Arabidopsis thaliana: one gene and its partners. The protein of the gene in region 2 interacts with the protein of the main gene of each other region in a pairwise test. Each region holds a gene or a part of one and is shown on either strand. Other genes may lie near its edges.

Region 1 (6,424 bases), on a different chromosome or scaffold from region 2:
CAATATGCAAAATCAAATTTGTCCATAAATCCTAGAAGACATGATTCGATTAAGGCATTCTCATTATCAAGACCGTCGCAATTCTAAAGAATCCAATTAGATCACCAGGTACAATTTTTGATAAGCAGAGAAATGCTACCTCAGAAAGTCGATTTCCGCTCTCAGATTTTCTGATCACTGGGAAATCTGAAATAATGAAGTAGTCAATCAAAATTGCAAAGCTAGTGGAAAAGGAGATGGCAAAACATTGAAATTGGAGATGAATAAAATTACCGGCAGGATTGGGAATTTCACTAAGATCTGGACCTGAAGAAGCTTTGCTTAGCCTTTGAGCTGCTCTCTTTTGACGAATCTCTTCCAACTACAAGATCACAGAAATTAATAACAACAAAAAAGCACCGATGTAAGAAACTGTCTTCAGATGAAGATAAAGACGGCCATATCGGAAATATCCTTACAGTACGGCGACCTAGAGACGCGTGGTGCGATTCCATGGTATGATTCCTCTCCTCGGAATTTCGAACGTCGATTTAACGGTGAGGAAATCGCCGGCGACAAAAATGGAATATATCTATATTTGGGCTTATAGGAGTGTTAAATAGGCCCATGGACATATATAACTCTCTGACCTTGAAAGCGAGCCCAGTTTTTCAATTTCAAAAAGAAAAAAAAAATTGAATAAAAGTTGAAAACAGGATGATAAAAGAAAACCAGTTTCCGACAAAAAAAAAAAAAAAAAAAAAAAACCAGTTTATGCAATTGCAAAGACATTTAAAAGAAAAAAAAACGAGAATGTTCAAAAAAATCGTTAGGCGATAGCTAGGAGTTCGATTCTAAAAAAGTTACCAAAGTTTGGCGGTTGGAAACGGTTGGAAGTTATCAAAGCTTGAATCATCATTTTGATTTCTAAGTACTTTAAACAATGTTCAGTCTTAATGATCGACATCTTCTAATATGTCACATGATAAAGTGTGAACCATACCCGTTTGATGAAGAGTTATATAAACATGTTTTATAGATTATGTTGGCAAAAAAAAAAAAAAAACGTTTTACATAATAAGAAAAAAATGTTATAATATTGAATCCTCCCAATTAACCTTTGAAGTATTCTATACCGATTGTTTGCCTTGTTTAGTTACAAAATACACTTGAAAACAAATTCCTTAGTAAATATTTGGTTCTTTTCCTATTCTTAAAGATATCAGTCTAACATTTCTAATATTCCTATAAACATCGTCCTATATATAACAAAAAATAAATTTAAAAAGGTAAGATTTTGTTATGATCAACTGATTCTATTAAATTTAAAATTAAATTGAACTCAAGTCTTTCACATTTCACGGCTTTTTACCATTTTCACTACTGGTGAAAATCTTTGTAGATCTAAACCGCGATTCAACACAGTGACTGACATAACCCATAGTCAAGCTAAATTAAAAACCCTTCGTTGTCTTACACCGAAGAGCAAAAAAGGTTAAAAGAAAAAGCCCAAAAGTCGATGACTCAGGACAAAAAACAACAAACATTACGAGAGAGACAAATACAACTACGTGTCTCGTCGTAGATCAACCACCACAACACTTACGTTGTCCGAACTTTGTCTAGCCAACGCAAGCCTCGTCAGCAACAGCGACGCCTCCTCACACGCTTTATCTGGCAAATCTCCTCCTCCAACCACCACATTCCCGGCGCCGACACCTGTCATTTCCCTTTCCGGTGATGATGATACTTGACCATTGACTTTTCCTCTCAAACACATTCGAACGACGCTACATGCAGTTTCGTTTGAAACAACGTCCCAAAGACCGTCACTTGCGAGAATAAGAAAATCGTCTCCGTTGGCCCGGTCCGTCACGGTTACCTCCGGTCTGCTGATTACATACGGCTTCAAGTAATTATCTCCTGAAAAAAAAAAAAAAAATCCGCGGCGAAACGAGAGTTAATAATCATCATTATTGAAAGTACGGAAAAACTTTGTACAAACATTAGGATAGGGACAAGAGTGTTTTCGTCAAGTGTAATCAATTAACTGACCAATGGCTCGTGACATTGCAAGTACTCCAAGGACACGTGGGCCATCCCAGTAGATAACACGACCACCCGCTGCTTGAATCCGGTCTAGCTCGTCCGGACGGTCTGGCTGTTACAACAAATTTAAACAAGAGAGAGAGAGAGAATGATATAGTCATTGATAACAGTGACACGAAGGATTAAAGAATCTTAAAACTCATAAACTTTATCAGATCCTCTATCTAAAAAGTAAAAAGTCATTAAACATTCTTAATCGTCGTCCAGGTGTTGCATGCACATTAAAGAAGATTCTAATTTCCAATAAATGAAATAATAAATAAAAAATGCATTAAACAATATTAATAGGTAAGTTTCGAACGCAACACGTAACGAAATTCTCGTTTCATTACAGTGAGTAAACCATAACCGTAGATCTAACGGATAAACATTTAACGATGGATAAACGAAACAAGAGAGATTATCAAAAAACGAACAAAACCTTATGATCGGAGGATAAAGCAATGGCTTTGCCGTTACGACAGAGAACGGCACGTGAGTCACCGCAATTCGCCACGATGATTTTCTCCGGCGTAAGGACAGACACAACCGCAGTGGATCCCACCGCGTCGCAGTCCGGCCTCTGAAGCTCGCACCGGCATTTTGCCGCACCATCGGCGTTCAACGCAACAACCTCCATGTCCATGCGCGTGAAGCTACGCGCCATTGACTTTTCCCAGTCAGCATCAGCTTCAAACTCTTCACGGACTAGCTCGTGTAGTCTTTCTCTACATTTCATCGCTACCTAAACATCATATTATTAAAATTAAAAACCGACGTCGTAACGGTCAATTAAAGGATAATTTTTATAATAAAACGACGTCGTACATGGGAACAGCCATGGCCATCGTAAACGCCGCAATAGTGAAATCCGGTGGATGAATATTCCGTCTGATGACGGGAAAAAAACGGATGCACAGCGACGGCGTCTTCCATTTCACGTCTTCTTCCACAGACTGAAGCGACGCCGTATTTAGGATAAGCTTCAGGATCAGGCAATGCCACAACCGTTGAACTAAGAGACTCGCATAGGACGACAACTTCCTTCGCCGTTTCGTAAAACACGGTGGAGGTGGAGGCTGCGACGGTGGATTCTCTTCTCCTCCGCCTCTGTAAGTCACCGTCGACGAAGACAGGTTCTTGTTCGCCGGAAACAAACTTAAACCTCCGGATCTCCATTCTCCTTCTTCTCGCTGCTTGAGACGAGCTCCGTTCTCGTCTCCTCGTTGTCGTCGTTGCCTTCTTCACCACCGTCGCCGTCGTTTCAATCATCATAGTCTCGTTCTCGTAACAAATCTCAGCCATGTGATCGTCAAAACTATTCAACAAACACACTCCATCACTCTCCCCCGAAAAAAAACTAGTGAACGAGACACAGGAGAGAGAAGAAGAAGAGAAGCTTAAACAAGATTAGCCATGGAAGCTTTATATTAGCTTCTTTCACCAGAAGATATAAATAAATATAATCATCTTTATATTTACGGGCAGATGACCGAGACTTTTGAACGGGCAGATCAAAACTCAAAATCAAAATGAAGGAATGAAGAAGAGGAGATTGTTGAATGGCGTGACGTATCGCTCCTCTATCTGGACGACGAAATCTTGACCGTTGATTGTGTCCACGTGTAAAACGTACTTCTCCTAAATCGCGATACGAAACACTTACGTGCACCAATCAAAGTCTAACACTACTCAGACCTAAAGTGAAAAAGAACCTTTGATGACACGCATGCGATCTCTAAACCTCTTTTTTTTTTTTTAAGATTTTTACCAAGTTTTGTTGTGGAAATTTACCTTACCATTTTAATTTGTTTTACTATAAATACAACTAATTACGTCATCACTTTCATCACAACTTACTATTACATATGGAAATCAACCAATAGTTTGTTTTTCTTTCAATCATTTAATATAACATGAGATCTCTTAACCTCTTATTTTATAGATTCTTACCATATTTTGTTGTGTAAATTTATTACCACTTCCATTTGTTTTACTATAAACTATCACTAATTACGTCATCACTGCTAATCAATTCAATAGAAAGGTTGGAAACAAATAATCTTTTTATCTGAGTGAAAACTAAGATGGTGTTTTAGGCTTTTAGCTGGTGATGACGATTCATCGCGTTTGTTTCATTGTGAGCGTGACAATACGGTATATATCATCGTTTCTAAAGTTTGGTGTGTTCAAGGACAAATTATTATAGAAAAAATTGACCATCTGCGACTACGAAACATAAGAGAAAAATGTGATAATTGTAGAATATGTCACTACAAATATAACCTTGGTGCGTGAATACTTCTTAGAAACAATTTGAGACTGCATATGCTTTTTTTTTTAATTAGAACAATTTCTTATTTGCTAGAAAAGTAAGTTCAAATTTGTGAGTTATCATTTCAACACTTGTTTTGTTTCGTTTGTTTTACTTGTCTGGTCTATTAGTTTTGTTCTGCATTTGTTCCATTTGTTTCATCCCTTTTTTTATGCTGCAAGTGCAAACAGTCAGAGTTTTCAAATAAATATATTTAAGAGATTTTATATGGGCCGGGGAACTAATATTCAAAGATTTTAAAGGATATCTTACCTAGTTTTACAATTGAGATGATGAAAATGAATTTGAAAACTTATTCATGGTTTTAATCTTGACAAGTGTCCGGAATATTCAATGATTTATAATCGTGCAATCTTATGACTTATCAGACAGTTCTAAACTAATTTTACATCTATTTTTAAAATATCACCATCTTATGTTTGACATTACAATTTTCTTAGTTGATAAGTAGCATTTTGTGAATACAATAAAAGTGAACATCATTCTCCAATGTTTGACACAATATTGGGTTTTTGGGAATTTAAAATAAAAGCAACTGAAAAACAGAAATGATCATACGTTCTACATTGGACAATGGACATGTTAAATTCGAGTGAACTATATATTATACACTTATAATTTTCTTTTGTGGGCAAAAATTATAAGATATTCAATCAACAATTAGAAATAAACAAAATATAACGTTTTCAATTCTAAATCAATCAGGAATGACATCCAATGAGATACAAGTACGTAGATGGGTTTTGGTGGAAACTGGGGACCACTTCTCTATTACTAACATTTAACAACGTTGACCCCTCTCTGACCTGTTTTCTTCCTCGATGTTCGACACGTGTTTACATTCTCTACTTTTATGTCTTGACCAAGATTTTTTCTGTGTCAACATTCGTTTACTATGCATTAAGTAGGATCGAGAGTTGTAATTTGGGCTTTAACTGTTACTTACGTTACGCCGATGAATCTTATGTTTATGTAATGTGATGATGATATTTTAGTTAGTTAGTATTAATACAAAAATAATTCATAACCTAACTAAAATTAAGGAAAGAAAGAGAGAAGCTCAGCTTTTCGCGGAAAATTCTCTGGGACGTGGCGGCAAGCAATAGGATGATGATTTGAATTATGTGAGTCCCACATCACAGAACAAAACAAAATCAAAAGGTTGAAAAAAAACGAAGCGCGTGTGTAACACATGACACGTGTCCTCTGAAGCTGCATAGCAGTTGCCAGGTTTTTGAAGTTGACAGTAGGCAAATACATTGTGCCACGTGAAAGCTTCATCTTTCTTTCAAATATTATTATTATTAAAATTTAACCTGAAAACAAATTCGTCATCGACCAACAAGTCACTAACCATCACTTTCAAATCTTATGTAAAAATATAAGGTGAAAATTAGTTCCATTAAAATCTATGTTACTTTTGTTGTTTGTTTAGTGATTTCAATATATATATATAAATGTTGGTTAACTATATCATTTGATACTTGATAGGAATACGAAAAAATAAAATTATAACTGAAACATGGTTAGTTACTTTAGTAGGTGGTTGGAGAGCTTTCGGTAAGGAGACAATATATTGTCCTAGCTAGTTTGATTAATTATCTCGTCTTTGTTTTGTAACTTTGAATTGAAATCTTACCAATTTGTCGTTGGAATTTCCACATCACACATGATTAGTTATATACATTAATACAAAATGCTTTTCTTGATAATGAACAATGCCCGATCTCATACATTTTTCAAACTCGATGTTGAGTTATGTGTTTAATGGATTCTCCTGTTTAAATTTATTTCAAAACCATGCGCCAAACTCAACATCTAGTTTGAAAAACACAAACTTTAAACTCAAAACACAAATATTTTTCCTATTCCTAACCACTAGTCTGTAAAAGCTTAATGTTCCAATCTAAACGTAAGTTGTTTGAAAGAAAGTTCGGCAATTACGAGGAACCAATGAGGTGTCACCATTGTCCACAAGACATAAATAAGGTTTAACTCTAAAGTCTAGTTTTGAGGCCTAAG
Region 2 (4,128 bases):
TTTCAAATGTAGCTTTTTTTGTTATTAATTAGCTATAATAATTAGAGTGTGTCCCAACTGTGAATGTATTTAAATGACAACATTTCTGTACGTTGCATGCATCATGATGTATAAACATACACTGGAATACATGTTGAAATGCACAAGTAAGTAAATAATATTTCTTACACTAAATGTATATACAATTAAGCATTACTTTTATGTATATATAGTTATATATATGCACACCTATACAAATATGTACATGTATATATGTATTTTATTATATAATTATTTTCTATTGGAAGCATGATAATATGGGGAACTAGATTACAAGGTCTAGCGAGTGTAGCCCAATAATGTAAATAAACAGCTCATGAGTTTAAAATAAGTACTCAAGCAATTAGGAAAAAAAACGAACATTTTGAATAAGCGCTAGCATTACCAAATTAGGATTTATATAAAACGAACTTAGGATTCGAACCGGCAATTGATTAAGTTAAAACGATCGAGTCGGTAGAAAGAGTTTTCCGAAACCCTAGAATCCGGAGAGAGGCTATATATAGTGATGTACATATATGTCAATTAATATATGTTTGTAGCTTTTGTAGCTAGCTATATATTAGCCATAGACCATAGTATTTAATAATGATGGCTTGGAGCCATGAGTTTTAGCATAAGCTTGTTTTAATATGATTCCATGTTGCCCTGTTTCTTTATATACTAGTATACTATATGTTATTCATGAGTTTGGAAGTATCGGTTTGTTACAAATCGGAAGTTTTGATCTATCATATCTACTGTAGTTGCTAATTAACTCGGCTTACTTGCGCCCGTCTCATTTTCTTTGAGTGTAAAAATTTGTTGATCATCAATAAATAATTTTACTGATAGAGATAAAAAAAAATAAAAAATTTGACGTATTCTTTTCTGTTAGACCGGATAAATAGACATTCAATCAAAGGTTTTTTTTTTATTAACCTACAAGGTAGTGAACTCCATTTGTTAGAACAACTTCCATTACCTTCGAACTTTTTTTATTCTTAATAACACAGAAAGTTGTGATACGGTTGCAAAACAATTTATCAATGGTGCCGATAAGATTGTTCAGAGGGTGGCAATGGGCATTGGTTTCACTTGCTTACCATAAAGAAAGCAAGTTTGAGAAATACCAAAATTGCGATTCTGTTTTTGATTGTGACTTGTGAGCCCCAACAATATATGTATATATTTCAGCTTGAGCTCAATTCCCATATATGCTACAACTCTAAGACGCAATTTATGAAAATTTGGATTTTAAATAGTCATCATGTCCATGTTTCTCGAGATGGATATCTAAGAGAAGAATAATTTGAATTTTATAAGTTTATTAAGTCATATTTTTAATACTTAAATCCAAATATAATTTGTTCCATGTATTTTATTTTTATTCTTATAATACACTTATGGAAATCTATTCTATTTTACTTCATATCTTTACCCATTTTTAATTTGCAATTTACCTTTATAATCCACTTATAAATATATATAAAAAAATCTATTACATTTTATCTCATGTCTTTACAGATTACACATTGGAATTGAGTTTTTTTTTTCATCTAAAACTTTTGTTATTTATATAACCATGGAGGTGACACAATGCCGGCCGTTAAACATGATCTTAGTCTAGGAAGGCTAAACATAAAACCAAAGCCAAGAAAAGGACTAACAAACGGACTGGATAGTTTGAAACCCAAAACCAAAACAGAATGGATTTTGTGCTGTGTGGGGTGAAGCATAAATGTATAAATGGAAAATATCATCATTAAAGTTTGGGCTTATACGGGCCTTATTTCTAATAGGCAATAGACTGATGGAACATTGAATATGCCTACCCTGGATATGTAGAACTTGCATGGCTCTCGGATTGGATACGTAGAACATTACACTTATGAAGGAAAAAAGATTGGATTCTTTTTTTTTCTGGTCGGCAACCAATTAAGAGAAACACTGTTATGTTTGTAAACAAGTGTGTGTTTCGCTAAATTCCATTGTGTGCTTTTCCGGTTTAAATGACATCTGTATTTACCTCGTGGGCAATGACACATCTATCTATATTTAGCTCCAAAACATTGCTGCAGCAAATTTCCAAAATAGACCGACTAGATTTTAATATAATATTGGTAATTTTTATCAGTTGGTAAGATATTTAATTCTTCGTGAAAAGATACTCGTATATCTCTCTTTCTGTTTAAATGGTTGATATAGTCAAAAGAAAAACCTTCAAAGAGGGTTTGTTAAAACCATATTCCCTATCACTCTTGTCAGAATACCCTTCACAGATGGTTTTGTTAATCTTTTTGATAAAACCAAGTTCCAGAATATGCAAGCCTTTTATCAAAAAGCAAAAGAAAGTTTCTAAATATGCCAACAAGATTGTGTAATTTTTCACTATACAAGGCAGTCAATACTTGTGTACAAGTTTATATTGTAAAATGTTTTTTGGTTAGTATATAGTAAGAAGAATTCGAATCGAACTCTAAAGTTTAATATTACATGAAGAATTCGTAAATAAATTAAACAATATAAAACACTATAAAAATATTTTAGTCGGTGGCTTGCCTTCATTTATATGTACGTAGATTCGTTCGATATGCTTTAAAACAAGTGAATACGAAAATTCTAAAGTAAGACACGAAAATACACGTCGATAAAAGACAAACCCATTAGAAAAACAAAACAGAAAATGGAAAGTTCTAAGCAAAAACGATGTCGCTCTAGCGTAGTCGAGACCATTGAAGCACCATTACCACTAGTGTGGTCCATCCTACGTAGTTTCGACAAACCACAAGCTTATCAACGTTTCGTCAAAAGTTGCACCATGCGCTCTGGCGGCGGCGGCGGCAAAGGAGGAGAAGGAAAAGGCTCCGTCCGGGACGTGACGTTAGTCTCCGGCTTCCCGGCGGATTTCAGCACGGAGAGGCTCGAAGAGCTAGATGATGAGTCTCACGTGATGGTGGTAAGTATTATTGGCGGTAACCATAGGCTTGTTAATTACAAATCGAAAACGAAGGTGGTCGCGTCGCCGGAGGATATGGCAAAGAAGACGGTGGTGGTGGAGAGTTACGTGGTGGATGTGCCGGAAGGAACTAGCGAGGAAGATACAATATTTTTTGTTGATAACATTATTCGGTATAACCTTACTTCACTTGCTAAGCTCACAAAGAAAATGATGAAGTAAGCTCTATATGTTTAAGCTAATCAATAAACTAATCGTAGTTATAGTTATGAATCATTGGATTAAGAAAAAAATGGATCGTTATGGATTAGTTTTTAATCTTTAAGGCTTTTAGCATTGCAATAATAATAATAAAAATATAAAGAATCGGAATAATATGCTCGTGTGGTTTCTTTCTTCCGTGATTGTAATTGTCTCTTTTCTCCTACTCTTTTATGAAGAGAAATAAAATGAAGGTTATTTCTACATTTTTACAATTAGGAATCTTTGAAATAATGGTTTTAAATTGTTGACTCAGTTGGTTTAGTTACTAAATATACTGATTTGTATTGCTGACAACAAAAGTTAGACTAAATACATGTTTGAAAATTTTCTTGATAATTCTTTGTCCATTTTGCATAATGCATAGTAAAAGGGCATCATGTAAGATTCTTAATTTGAAGTTCTAAACTAATTAATATCAATACTTTAGTATAATATTATTAGGTTGGAAGGTATTTTACACTCAGAACAGAAAGTATGATGACCTAAACTGTAGATCTCGTGAATTTCATGGCCGTTTGACTCAAATCTGTTCGGAGGTTATGAATTTATGATGTCCGTTGAATCATTGAGCTGTTGAACTAATGGAGTGGTTTACTCTATAATACTTTGGTGTGTTTTTATCAAAAACCGACCGAATCAACAGATATAATTTATTTTGAACAAGTTGGTGAAAGACAAAATAGAGGTTCTATTGATCTAAATATAACGGTGAAGATTGGAAATTTTCATGTTTTTTCGGGAATTGGGCCTTTATGAATGGACTATTGGGCCTTGCTATTTCAAAGCTTGGGTGTTGGTGGGGCTTGCTATTTCAAAGCTTGGGTGTTGGTGGGGGAGTGTGAGTGGTTGCCACGTGAAGGATACTTATTCCCTTGTCCTTTTCATTC
Region 3 (5,180 bases), on a different chromosome or scaffold from region 2:
CTTTGGGTTCTGATGTTAAACTCTTCCAATGGGCAATATATATAAAATGTCAGTGTTGAGCTGCATGAGAAGAACCTGCATTATGTTTGATCTGGTTTATGAAACTATATCTGGTGACGCTCTTGCAGGAAAGTGGTGTCTGCCCAGATCTTATTCTACTTCATCATTGAGGATTTTGTATTCTATTGGGGTCACAGGATCTTGCATACTAAATGGCTCTACAAGAACGTGCACAGTGTGCATCATGAGTAAGCTATCAGTACTCACCATCTTTTTTGTGCTTGACAATGTTAGTTCACTCATGGTCCTCAATAAACAATCTTATGGTATTACTTATATACAGGTACGCGACACCGTTTGGTTTGACATCAGAATATGCTCATCCCGCTGAAATTCTGTTCCTTGGTTTTGCTACCATTGTTGGTCCGGCTCTCACCGGGCCTCACCTGATCACCCTTTGGTTATGGATGATGCTCAGAGTTATTGAGACAGTTGAGGCACATTGTGGTTATCATTTCCCATGGAGCCCCTCGAATTTTCTTCCTCTATACGGCGGGTAAGATAAGACTTCTAACCTGTGATTGCCTTGAAAGAGCAACACCTTAAACCTAACAGATCTTTAATATTAATGTGGGAATCATTTGCTTACAGTGCTGACTTCCATGACTACCATCATCGATTACTCTACACAAAGTCTGGCAACTACTCATCAACGTTTGTTTACATGGACTGGTAAATTATTGAACTCTGTTTCTTACTTTAACAGAAGTCATAACTATAATAAACATGTAAATATGTTTATCTATGTTACTTCAGGATCTTTGGCACCGATAAAGGTTACAGAAAACTTAAGGCCCTAAAAGAAACCTGACAACAAACAAACGTGAAATTCGATTCCCGAGAGAGGTCTTGTTCTCAAAAAACCTTCTTTCTTTTGTTTTGTCTCTACCATTTCCTCAACTTTAGTCATAAGAACATCATTATTTGCTACAATTTGGGTTGTACAATCAAAGCTGCTAGTCTGAAGTCGATTCGATGTTGAAATTTATACGTGACCTCGTTTCTATTGGACTTGTTGTTACTACTGCTTACTGTTTTTCTTATTCTTTAGATACTGCTAATACTCATAATTGCATTTAGAACCTATGATCTACTCTCATGTCTTTGCCTAGCGGCAGAGACTAAGTACCTCTTAAAGTATCTTAATGCCTAAAAGTAAAAGGTATAGTATAGTCTGACAATCTTTTTTAAAGCAAAATGCTTTTACATGTCGACCTTCTTAATTTGATTTGATTTAAGATTATAAGCATACACGAAACAGGATTAGGGTTGACAAGAATAATTCTTATCATTTCTATTAATTAACCCTTTTTCGGGGTTTCCATAAAATCGGGTTAATTTTGTATACAACCAACGTATTCCAAGAATAACCAAAAAGCAAAACTGATATAGAAAGTTAAAGCAAAATTGTCTTCCTCTTCGACTAGTGTCCACTTACGTGTCCTTATCTTCTGAGATCAATCACAACGACACTGACGTTGTCACTACTGTTCCTTGCCAACGCCAGCTTTGTTAGCAATACTGACGCTTCCGTACAAGCCTTGTCCGAAATCGCCGGATCCTCATTATCTTGTCTTCTCCCACCACCACGGAGACACATACGCGCTACAGAGCAGGCGGTCTCGTTTGACACAACATCCCATAAACCATCACTAGCTAGTATGAGGCAGTCATCGTCTCTCCTGTCCGTTATGGTTACCTCCGGCTCGCAACTCACGTAAGGTTTCAAATAGTTGTCTCCTATTGCTCGTGACATTGCTAAGACTCCGAGAACTCTTGGACAGTCCCAATATATGACTCGTCCACCAGCTCCTTCGATTCGATCCAATTCGTCTGGCCGATCAGGCTGTGTTTCATTACAAAGAACACAATCTCCAAGTTAATCCACAAATCCAATCATTGCTTAAATGAAACTGAACATGTTTTGAACGGAACTGACCTTGTGATCGGTTGATAAAGGGACTGGTTTCCCATTGCGGCAGAGAACTGCTCTGGAATCGCCACAATTGGCGACAACGATCTTATCTGGCGTAATGACTGAGACAACAGCGGTTGATCCGACGGAATCACAAGCCGGTGTTTGTAGATCACACTTGCAATTTGCAGTCACGACGGAATCACCCCACGATACAACTTCCTTATCCATGCGTGTGAAGCTACGCTCCATCGTCGTTTTCCATTCTTCTTCATCTTCCATATCTGAACTTAGTTCTTCTTGCACCAGCTTGTGAAGCCTCTCTCTACACCTTGCTGCAACCTAAGGAAAAAAAAAAGATTTCGTATCAGCTAAAACTGAAAACATAGAATTTCGGAAAACGTAAGAATGCATGGTAACGGAGTCGTACGTGGGAACAACCATGGCCGTCATACACACCAAAGTAGTGTTGAGGAAATTCCGAATTCTTCGGAGAAGAAAATGAAGGATGAATTGCCACCGCATCTTCCATCTCTCTTCTTCTACCGCACACCGAAGAAACACCGTATCTTGGACTGGATACGTCGACATTTTGGTCAGAGAAATCCTCCCGAGAGCTTCGAGGAATTGAAGAGTATCTCGTAGCTAAAGCCTCCTGTTTACTACGCTTACAATTCTTCTCCCAATCTTCATGCATCACCGTTTGGAATCTCGGCCTCCGCCGTGAATGTGCCGGCGTTGATTCATAAACCGACGACGGACATGCGTCGGTCACTACTTCGTAACATATCTCGGCCATATCCGGGGAAAAAAACCTTAAACTTTGATGTCTTCAAATGGATTTTGCTCTGTATTTCTGATCAAGAAGAACAAAACTCTTTCTTAGATGTTTCAAGAAATGTTTTCTTTTTTGATGAACTCTTTCAAGAACTGGTGATTCCTGTTTTGGTTGCTTCACTGGTTAATAAAAATGCTCGAAAACCATTCAATTTGAGAAATAATGTCATTACACGTTACTTGCATTCTCTATTTTATACACAAAACCTGCCTCTTCAGAAACAATTTTAAATTCTTTCTATAAAAAAAGTAATCCACGTAAGGCGTCAGTATCGAGTGCGAGATTCGTGGTCCAATCAAATTGAGACGGCACGGATGACGGATCATAGGAAGTTTCCTTTCGCGCCACGATGCTTTTCCCCGCAAGGTAGGTTTTGTTTTCTGTATTTAAATAACTAGAGGAATTTCATTACGTTAGTTTTCACATTTGATTACATGAATAACCTAAGTTTAGGTATAAATCAGTGTTTACTTTCAAAACCTAACAAGTTTAGTGCTAATAATTTATGTTTGTCCCTAGACAGTAAACACGTTAACAAAGAAAACCTTAATAAACTTATATCTGAATTTTTATTATTATTGTCTTGAGAGTCCAGAGAATCATCGGAAATATAATATGTATGACTTATATGACAGTAATCAGCTATGTTGTGATGGCAGTCTGAACAATTATTAAACAAATTTATCATCGACAAAGCAATTTGAATTCTCATCGTCCAAATATCCAAGAAATGCGATAAAGTTTTATATACCCAAGAAGATTAAATAACAAGTTACATATATAGTTTGTTTTTGAATTTAGAAAATTTAAGGAATATTTTGTTTACATGTCTATTATTATGAGTCCTTGAATATGATATATGAGTATGTTTCCAACGACATGTCTTTTAGTTTAGTTGATATATAGAAGAAACTTGTTTTGTGCTATGCGTGAGAATAATAATAATAATAAATTTATATCAAATATATATATATATATATATATAATTATGAAGATAATTCTTTCTTTGTTTTGTGTTATGCGTGAGAATAATAATAATAAATTTATATAAATTAAAAAAAATTATGAACATAATCTTTACTCCTTTAGCAAAAGTAATCTTTTTAGGCTTTTAGCCATAACCCCCTAAAGATAGGGATACTAGAGTTGAAAATCGTACGGTCATCATTACATGACTATATAATCATATATCATAAGTAGAATATATACAATAATTATTTTATATATCAAAAGTCACAATACGATTGGAAACGAACAAACATCAAATGTGAACACAAGTAACTTCTTATCCGATAAGATAAAAGATTGAGTTCTTCGTCCAAACATTAGAAGGCATGAACGGAGTGAGCTCCCTCAACATAAGTTACATATAAAACTTGTATGAATTAATATGCAGTGAAACCACTAATTAATCACATAAATTTAAGCATGAATATATGCATATATACGTGTTTAAGGCAAAGAGAAGCCGTTAATAGTGAAACCTCCATCAACGCAAATGGTTTGACCTGTTATATAAGAAGCTGCGGGAAGACATAGAAATGCAACAAGCGATGATACTTCATTTGCCTCTCCAACACGTCTCAATGGTGTCACACTCTCCACCTTTTCTTTTACATCTTTATCACCGAGGAACTGAAACATTTTCACATAAACTTCGTAAGAAATAGTTAAACCATTTTTTCATACTATAAATGAAATGTATTTTCTTATTCATTGTCTTACATCTTTAGTTGACGGAGTTGTAATGAACCATGGACAAACAGAATTAGCCCTTATATTATCACTCGCCCACTCGCATGCTAAATTTCTCGCCAGCTGATTCATGGCTCCTAGAATGCGTATACATTTATTTAAGTCGCGATAGAAGCAAAGAATCATAAATTGTTCGAGTATGCGTATAATTATACCTTTGGTTGCTCCATAGATTGATGTATTACCCAAATTTACAACTCCAGCCACGGAAGACATGAGCACAATGTTCCCTGAACCAGAGGCTTTCAATAAAGGATGCGCGAGTTGCGAGAAATGGAAAGTTGACTCCAGATTTGTAGCTATTATAAATGAGAACTCTTCTGCTGTACACTCAGTCGTCGGCTTTAGTACACCTATTCCCACATTGGGTACCTATACAAACGAAGCAAACAAAATTCAACATGATTTTGGTCATTGTCGATCCAAGCTCATAGACGAGGAGGAGGAGAAGCTTATATATATACACACACACACTTACGAGGATGCTGAGTTTTCCTTGGAAGAGAGAGGAAACAGTTTCCATGAGTTTCTCTCGCTGGTCACGAGAAGAAACATCGCAAACAGAAGTGGTGACTTGTAACCCTTTTGCTTGCCATTCACGTAAGCTTTCTT

The links.
Region 1: the proteins of PYL13 (region 2) and HAI1 interact in a two-hybrid assay, tested with the Arabidopsis thaliana proteins (one study listed by BioGRID).
Region 3: the proteins of PYL13 (region 2) and HAI3 interact in binary tests that used the Arabidopsis thaliana proteins (3 or more experiments, as listed by UniProt).

What each region holds. Positions count from the first base shown.
Region 1 is NC_003076.8:23,893,126-23,899,549, forward strand, and holds HAI1 (PP2C protein (Clade A protein phosphatases type 2C)), read right to left. Parts: upstream 3,815-6,424; 5' UTR 3,373-3,814; coding exon 2,896-3,372; intron 2,813-2,895; coding exon 2,510-2,812; intron 2,141-2,509; coding exon 2,035-2,140; coding exon of another isoform or gene 2,012-2,034; exon of another isoform or gene 1,903-2,011; coding exon 1,547-1,902; 3' UTR 1,279-1,546; downstream 1-1,278. Other genes in the region: AT5G59210 (myosin heavy chain-like protein), read right to left, coding at 140-186, 274-361, 459-494. UniProt on the Arabidopsis thaliana protein: Acts as a negative regulator of abscisic acid (ABA) signaling for stomatal closure in leaves, and controls water loss during leaf senescence. Activated by the NAC029/NAP transcription factor during ABA signaling in senescing leaves.
Region 2 is NC_003075.7:10,251,655-10,255,782, forward strand, and holds PYL13 (PYR1-like 13), read left to right. Parts: upstream 1-2,704; coding exon 2,705-3,199; downstream 3,200-4,128.
Region 3 is NC_003071.7:12,606,449-12,611,628, reverse strand, and holds HAI3 (highly ABA-induced PP2C protein 3), read right to left. Parts: upstream 2,955-5,180; 5' UTR 2,775-2,954; coding exon 2,406-2,774; intron 2,318-2,405; coding exon 2,000-2,317; intron 1,907-1,999; coding exon 1,505-1,906; 3' UTR 1,279-1,504; downstream 1-1,278. Other genes in the region: SMO2-2 (sterol 4-alpha-methyl-oxidase 2-2), read left to right, coding at 129-248, 344-556, 616-732, 817-871; AT2G29370 (NAD(P)-binding Rossmann-fold superfamily protein), read right to left, coding at 4,266-4,448, 4,539-4,645, 4,724-4,940, 5,047-5,180.